Callithrix jacchus: one gene and its partner. Each later gene encodes a partner of the first gene's protein in a complex. Links are inferred from orthologs where the notes say so. Each region holds a gene or a part of one and is shown on either strand. Other genes may lie near its edges. The genes, in order: SIKE1 and SLMAP.

Region 1 (4,503 bases):
GAGTTTCACTACAATTTTAGTCCTCAGATATAAAGCCATAGTCAAGTGACCTTGTGGTATTCACAGATAATTTTTTTTTTTTTGAAAAATCAATTGTAGTTTAACTACCCATTGGATGTTGGATACTATCTCTAAGTGGCTAACTTAAATTTGAATACGTTAATTGGCAGGAAGCTTATTACATTTCATCTTTGGACATATCACTTAGAAAGTTTATCTATCTGAGTAAACTCTGTCTCTTTCAAGGTTCAAGTTTTTTCCTCCATAAGAGAAAAAATAAAATCTACTTTTCTATTCCAGATGAAAGCCATTCAAATATTTATAAAATATCTGTTTCCTAAAACTTTTAAGTCAGTAAAATGCATTCAATGGAGTTTAAGACGAAGCTTATCTTTCACTGCATCTCACAGTAGCATATAGTAGGCTCCAATCTACACATCTAGATTTAAATCATACAGTACACATGAATGTACAATGACATCTACGAAGCACCTACAAGCATAAGAATAATTACTGAGTCTCTCAAATTAGATCATAAGCAAAGTATAGAAACTATGCCATGCTTGTTTTTTTGTTTTTTTTTTTAAAAAAAAGCATACTTCTCTTCCCTAACAACATGGTATAATGCTATGTAGTTCAGTTTAAAAAATGTTTACTGACCGCCTGCTGTATGTCAGGTACTATGGTAGGAATAAAATATGAATTCATGCTCCTTACAACAAAGGAGCTTAAGTGAGATGTATAAAGAATAAGCAACCAAGTGTTTACTGGGCATCTTCAACACTAACTGGCATTATGTTTGGTGGGAGAGCTAAGAATTAATGAACATCTTCAAAAGAGATCTTGGTAAGGGAGGGGGTACCTTACTCCTACTCAAATAAAAGGACCTGAGCAGCCCCATCCTCCTCCTTTCTATTCATATCTTTACAAAGCCATGGCAAAATCAACAACAAACGTGATAAACATGAAAGGAAAACAAGCTTACTTTTCTTCAAAAACAAGCACACATGGCCAGGCACAGTGGTTCATGCCTGTAACCCCAGCACTTTGGAAGGCCAACGTAGATGGATTGCTTGAGCACAGGAGTTTCAAACCAGCCTGGGCAACACAGTGAAACCTCATCTCTACCAAAAACCAAAAAACCACATACACAAAAATTAACAGGGCATGGTGGTGTACACCTGTAGTCCCAGCTACTCAGGAGGCAGAGATGAGAGGATGGCTTGAGCCCAGGAGGCAGAGGTTGCAGTGAGCTGAGATCGTGCCACTGTACCTCAGCCTGGTCGACAGAGCCAGGCCCTATCTCAAAAAACAAAACAAAAACAAGCACACAATGAACAATCTCAAGATTTCAATTCAGTTCATTTCGAATTTATTCAAAGTTTCTTACTGCAGAGTGAGACTGGTGAGCTTTCAGGACTGGTTCGGCATCCACAGCTTTTTTAGCAACCATTAACTGTAACATCTGTTTCCGGTACTTGCTCATGATGAGTTCCAAAGCATCCTGGTGTTCCTCCAAGGAAACCCAGAGCTCTATCAAAAATAAAATAACTTGGCAGTGATGTCTGAGAGAGCGCTCCCATATCCAAAGTCTTAACAGTTGGAATTTTGTAACACTATAGAGATAATATGAATCCAAAGCTGTAAATCAGGGTTTAAGTCCACAAAACTGAACAGTTAAAGTCTATGTGAAAGATAACTTTCTAGGCAGAGAAGCAGAAACAACAAAGGATATGTCATCAGAAGACACGGGTTTGAGTTCAGTTCTGTAACTTGCTTCGTTAATACTTGTAAGTAAATCATTTAGCGTCTCTGAGTGTATTTCTTAACTGCATTGTAATAAATAGCTAAAAATGAAGATAGGAGAATACAGTAGAATGATACCTGTGAAACCCCGCTGGTAAACAACTAGTAATACTACAATTATTAATAATATACTAATCAAGCCGAAGAATATATACCCTTAAAATAACATTCTGCTGCTTCCCTTGCATGAACAAGAACATAAACAAAACCTTAAACCTTACCTTTAGTGTTTATTTTCATTAATACTTATTAAACATTAAAGTTTGCAAGAATTCAACTCTACTTAGCAGCTCTTTGGTAAGCTGCTACAAAATCAGTCAGATGATCTTGAAAAGGGTAATCTAAAAACCTTTGCTGTTACCGGGCCAGCACAGGAAGACTCGCCTACTAAAAGTACTGACCTGGAAATATATGTACATTTTTGTGAACGGTTAGGGCAATTCTGCAATACCTTTCAAACTATTACCAGATATGAAAAGGCCCGACTAACCTCTGTTTTCCTGCTGCAAGTCTCTAATCTGTGTGTTCTCTTGGGACAGCAGAATGTGAGGTTTGTATTTGGACATGTCCTTCATATCGGATGCATCCTCTTGATACTGGACAAACAGAGACAGACTAAGTAGAGAACAGCGGCAGATGCAACTGAAGAGGCAGAAATCAGCGCTCCGGGGCAGGTTTCTCAGCCCCGACCCAGGAAAAATGTCTCACCGCCGCCCTCTGAGACGCGGAATCAATTCCAGGCCGAGTTCCCACTTTACCTCGCTCTCCACCCTTCAGTGCCCAGAATCCGAGAGCACTGGACTCCTACCCTCTGCCTGACCTGATCCGGAAGCGCCGTCCCCGCCTCCCGCATAGAGGCTACCCGCCGGTGCAACGCCGCCGACTGATCCACCAGTGACTCAGCGGCCGCATCGTGCTCCCGCAGCCTCTCCAGCAGCGTCTTGGCATCTGTCAGGATCTTCTCGATGGTGCAGCTCATAGCAGCGGCACGACCCCACTGGACCTGCCGGGCTCAGCTACGCGACTTGCTGAGATCTGGGAGTCTGTCTCAGCATTACAAGCGTCACTTCCGGGCACGTTTAAAAGGTGTCTTGCGCCTGCGCAATAGCAGTCCCGTTTGCGGGTTTACCCGCTGGAACCTGTGGCTTCTTTGCAGTCCTGCCCAGCGCGGAGCCCCAGACCTGCCCTTGCCACGCCCTTGGTTTCCAATTCCCACAGCCTGCTGGTCAGGCCATGATTAACTGGGCAGTAGGAAGTTCTCCTTTCCCTACTGGTTTTCATCGATGTGGGTTGTTACTCATAGTTTTTATTTTCATTTAATTTTTAATTTAAAATTTTTGTTTTTTGAGACGGAATTTTGCTGTTGTTGCCCAGGCTGGAGTGCAGTGGCGTGATCTCGGCTCACTGAAACCCTTGCTTCCCGGGTTCAAGCGATCCCCCTGCATTAGCCTCCCAAGAACCTGGGACTACAGGCATGTGCCATCACATGCGGCTAATTTTTGTTATTTTTAGTAGAGACAGGGTTTCACCATGTTGGCCAGGCTGGTATGGAACTCCTGGCCTCAAGTGATCTGTCTGCCTCGGCCTCCGAAAGTGCTGGGAATATAGGCGTGAATCACCGCACCTGACCTATTTTCATTTAATTTTTTAAAAATCGTGGTAAAATACACATAAAATTTAATATCTCAGCCTTTTTTTTTTTTGAGATGGAGTTTCACTCTTGTTACCCAGGCTGGAGTGCAATGGCGCGATCTCGGCTCACCGCAACCTCCGCCTCCTGGGTTCAGGCAATTCTCCTGCCTCGGCCTCCTGAGTAGCTGGGATTACAGGCACGCGCCACCATGCCCAGCTAATTTTTTGTATTTTTAGTAGAGATGGGGTTTCACCATGTTGACCAGGATGGTCTCGATCTCTTGACGTCGTGATCCACCCGCCTCGGCCTCCCAAAGTGCTGGGATTACAGGTGTGAGCCACCGCGCCCGGCTATCTGAGCCATTTTTAAGCATACAGTTCAGTAGTATTAATAGCAGTACATTCACACTGTTATACAGCCACCATCAGCATCCATCTCTAGAACTCTTTCATCTTGCAAAACTGAAGTTCTGCATTATTAAACAGTAGCTCCTCATTCTTTCTTCTCCCCATCCCCTGGCAGCCACCATGCTACTTTCCTGAATACCTGACATGAGTGAAATCATACAGCATTTGTATTTATGTAACTGCCTTATTTCACTTAGCATTATGTCCACAAGTTTTATCCATATAGTAGCACATATTATATTTTCCTTCCTTTTTAAGGCTGAATAATACTCCATTGTATTGTATATTCTGCATTTTGTTTATCCATTCATCCAGTGGGTTGCTTCCATCTTTTGCTATTGTAAATAATGCTGCTATTGCAACTGGCTCACATCTGGCTGCTTGCTGTTTAGAGGCCAAAAACATGAGAAGCGAGGTGCGGTGAAACGAAAGCAGTTTTACTGATCACATGCTCGCAGATGGGGCGTGGTTAGGCTCATGCCTTCAAAACAGCATTCCGTTTTTTTTTTTTTTTTTTTTTTTTTTTGTCAAGGTATCCCAGAGACAGTATCAATTTCCAAACTTTTATTTCGTCCCATATCAATGCCAGGGTGATGTGCTACCTGCCCTGAGTCCATCATGTCCCTCCTATGATTAACAGACTTATAGTCAATTAAA
Region 2 (3,822 bases), on another chromosome or scaffold:
CCAACATGGTGAAACCCTGTCTCTACTAAACATACAAAATTTAGCTGTGCATGGTGGCATACGCCTGTAATCCCAGCTACTTGGGAGGCTAAGGCAGGAGAATCAGAGGTTGATTCTCCTGGAAGGCAGAGGTTGCAGTGAGCTGAGATAGTGCCACTGCATTCCAGCCTGGGTGACAATAGCAAAAAATCTGTCTCAAAAAAAAAAAAGATTGCAAGTAAAAATCTGTCAAAAAAAAAAAAAAAATATATATATGTATATCAAGTAATCTATGAAGTATTTTAGGCACCCCTAACCAGCTTGGGGGAAGGGTCTGTTCCACAGGTAAATGAGGAACTGGTGTTACACAGAAAAGTTAACATACTCTTCAGTTCTCATGCTACACACACAATATAGATATTATGGAGCACACATAACTCGGACAGTCTTTTCCTCCTTTCTTTAAAAAATAATAAAATATTTCCTTAAATCAGTAGCTGCCAAAGTTATCATTTTTTTCTCTTCCTTTTGAGGCTCAGGTTTCTTTCACTTCAAAACATATTCTTGAAGACTTAAGTTCTTCCTTTAAGAAAGATTTAATTATTTAACTCAGAAAGAAGGGGCAAAAAGTCAGGAGGTGAAACCTGAGACAGTCCTATTAGTCTTACATAACTTAAAGTTGGAACTGATTCAGTAGCTCGGCTAAAAACCTGAGGTTTAGGCACTAAGACGAGCTCTTTAGTATACTCTCCACAAACATAAATAGTTTTTAAAAATGGAAATGATCCTATCTTTTTTCTTCATTCTTAAAAGCTCATACATGTATAGTAAGTCATGATACTAACGCAAAAATGCTAAAAATGGTTACACTTAAAATGAAAAGCACTGAATTCATCCTATCACATTTAAGTAACACTATAATTGAAAGACTAGGGTGTAATTTCAGAAAATAAGTTCACTTCCTAACACTAACTTTTGCATAGCACCTCTGTAAGTATGCAATAAGTACTTAATAAGTGCTGCAGGGAACATCAAAAAGTGATTTTCAAATGCAATATATGTATGTGCAACCAACTTGTAAAAAAAACTCTCAATATATATAAAGTACAGTTCTCATGCTTAATTAAATTAGCTTTGATTATTGCAAATGATTCCTTCAAGAGCAAGTATATAGCAAACCTTTCAAAAATCTTAGGTTTACACCAGCAACTGTCCTTACTTAGAAAGGTCTTGATCTGAACTCAACTAAAGCTATGTGTTAACTACATTTCACCACAAAGACACCTGAGCACCAGGGTAATAATGGCCACGGATTCCCCGAATTGCTTTGAGAACTGCTGCTTGCTTAATAAAGAGCTGAACTGTGAATTCACCTTTCTCAACAGACTGAAAGCAAGACGCCAAGTTTCACAATCTAGTTTGGGATTTCTCTGGGAATGACTACGTTATCAAGATGCCATAGCTCTCCTGAGGCTTTTAATTACAATACCTTCTCTGTTTTCCATTCAACCACCTCAATCAAATTTCCACTAGAACCAGGCACACAAACAGTTGATTCCTGGCTTTGCGCAAAGCCTCCTGTGGATGCAAAGCCTGGGATCCTGCAAAAGTCAGGCCTTTCAGGGAGGGCAAAGGTGGGGTGGGGGAGGAGTTTGTTAAACAATGCAGTTGGACAATGTGGTGGTGACATTACCTTGCCTGTCTTGTGATCAAACCAGACGAGAGCGTGGTTCCTTGACAGCACTTTGCAATCAAAAGTGGCATTATTCTGCGCTGGTCGACAGCGGGCCACTGAACGGCCGATTTTGATGGGCTCGTCCAGGTAGACATGACGCTCCTGAAACGGGTGCGAGTTTGGGCGGCAAGTGAAGATGGCCAAGGCTGACGGCATCGAGGATAGGCTTGGGGTGTCTCTCCTACCAGGGACAAAGAGGAGTTCCTCCGGATCCGGGCTGCCCTTCACAAGCCTATACCCCTATCCCACCCAAAATTTTAAATTAAAACAAACTGCACATTGTCTATGCATAACCAGTGAACATCAACAACTCTTCACTTGGGTGGGAAGACAAGCCAGCGCAAGCCCCATCACCTCCTCCAAAACCCAGCAGTGCCCTAATCACGAAAAGTCCCCAACGGGCAGCTTTCAGTCCATCTTCCTCTCTGGGAAGAAACGGCTCAAACATCGGGCAGCTTCGGCCAAGAAAACTCCTGGAGCACAGTTTGGGGACTGGAGGTATCCAAGCAGATGAGTCACACTCCAATTCTTGTGTTTGGTTTGAGATCGCGGCCGCTTTTCCCCCTCGGTGGCGGAAACGCTGCAGCACTGCAGCATGAAGGAAGGGTCGTGGTTCGGCGCGGCCAGGAAAGTCCTTTTGGGCCGAAGGAAGGTGTGGCCGGGCACCTCCGGGCAGCCACCGCCCGTGCTCGCCCGGAGTGGAGGGCGAGAGGTGACGGAGGCGGAGGGGCTCTAAACGGCCGGCGGGACAGTCTGCATCGCCCCTGCTGCGCGGAGGCCGCCCCGGGAAGGGGGACTCGGTCCCCGGCGTGGCGAGGCGGCAGTGCCTGGGGTCCTCAGCGCGAGGCGTGGGGGCCGGCGGGGCGCGAGCAGTGGCCAAGTCGGGACTCCTGGGCACCTGGCGGGTGTCCCCGCGACCAGGGCGGGGACCCGGCTCCGCAGGCCGGTGCGGACCGAGCGAGGCGCGACACCGGGAGGTTCGGGTTCTCGGGCGGCAGGAAGTTGGTCCCCGGACGCCTGGGCTCCTGGTCGCCGCCGCTCAGCACATGGGCCGCCTCCCCTCAGGGTCGCCCCCGCGAGGGTCGCATCTCAGGGACAGCAGTCGCAGCTCCGGGCGGACGAGAAGGTGGGGGAGGGAGACTGGCCCGGAGGTTAGGGAGAGGCCTGGAGGCCCCGGGCTGGGTCCGCCGCAGCCTCCACCGATCACGGCCAATGGAGCAAGCTCAAGCTGCGCCGGACGAGGCAGGAAACTTTCCGACCTGGTGGGGAAAATATCAAAACAAACGGCCGTCAGGCGCCTCAGCCCGCCCGCCTCAGCCCTCGCCCCCTCCAGCCAGACCCCCGCCAGCTCCCACCGCTAGGCATGACCTCCGCCGACCTCTCCACAAGCGGGCTGCGAGGATTTGGAGGCAGGACGCCACGACGGGTTCTACCTCCCTAGCCGCCACCGCCGCCTCAGCTTACCTTGCCAGCGCCGGCCGCCATAGTGACTCTGACTGAAACCTACCGGGTACACCGCCACGGGAACGCGCTCCCTTCAAGGGCCCTCCTACCCCCTCTCCCGCGCCGTAGTCCAGGAATGTCACGTGAGCGACGCCACGGAAGCCGTGTTGGTCGAGGGCAGAAAAACGGGCAAGCTAATTTCTAACGCGCCTCTAGGCGCCATCTTATTTAAGGGCTGGAAGCTTCAAACCTCGGGACAACCACAACGACCATTTTCGTTAAGGGCAAGAACAATTCGCGCGCTAGAAGATTTTCGAAACAAACCGTGCCACCTTCTTATTTTATCTACTTGGAAAGGAGATGCCAACCTTTGCTAAATTTTATTCGCTTTAATCCTCGATGAAAATACTAGTGAGCAAAAAGCAGAGGCGGCCAAAGGAGATGGTCATAAGCAGCCATCTTAGCTGTGGGCAACAGAGTCGCCCGCAGCCACCTTAAGTGTGAGCAGCCAAATTCCCTCAAGTCTTAGGATGTTCGCCTAACCGAAGGACCATCCTCCCCTCTGCTAAAGTTTTCTCTGTGTTTTCTTCCCGGAAAAAAAACGCTTAGTTCCCGCATTACGCTTCGAAAGACAGCCCTTCTCACCGGACCTCGTATGTGCCCCA

Evidence for each region.
Region 2: the proteins of SIKE1 (region 1) and SLMAP are in contact, whole or in part, in a crystal structure (PDB 6AKM), measured with the Homo sapiens proteins. The link is inferred for Callithrix jacchus from reciprocal best matches to the Homo sapiens genes SIKE1 and SLMAP. Residues at the interface, in NP_079349.2 of Homo sapiens: Ile5, Ile8, Leu9, Ala12, Lys13, Leu16, Leu19, Arg20, His22, Asp23, Ala26, Glu27, Leu29, Val30, Ser33, Ala34, Leu36, His37, Val40, Met43, Arg44; in NP_001291349.1 of Homo sapiens: Leu168, Tyr171, Leu172, Glu174, Ala175, Arg178, Glu179, Met181, Leu182, Lys185, Thr188, Leu189, Leu192, Leu193, Ile195, Thr196, Ala199, Ser200, Thr202, Ser203.

Annotation. Positions count from the first base shown.
Region 1 is NC_133508.1:152,760,464-152,764,966, forward strand, and holds the start of SIKE1 (suppressor of IKBKE 1), read right to left. Parts: upstream 2,863-4,503; 5' UTR 2,786-2,862; coding exon 2,615-2,785; intron 2,403-2,614; coding exon 2,297-2,402; intron 1,534-2,296; coding exon 1,391-1,533; intron 1-1,390.
Region 2 is NC_133516.1:39,559,835-39,563,656, reverse strand, and holds the start of SLMAP (sarcolemmal membrane-associated protein), read right to left. Parts: upstream 2,225-3,822; 5' UTR 1,871-2,224; coding exon 1,673-1,870; intron 1-1,672. Other genes in the region: uncharacterized protein LOC144579547, read left to right, coding at 2,225-3,214. UniProt on the Homo sapiens protein: Associates with the striatin-interacting phosphatase and kinase (STRIPAK) core complex, forming the extended (SIKE1:SLMAP)STRIPAK complex.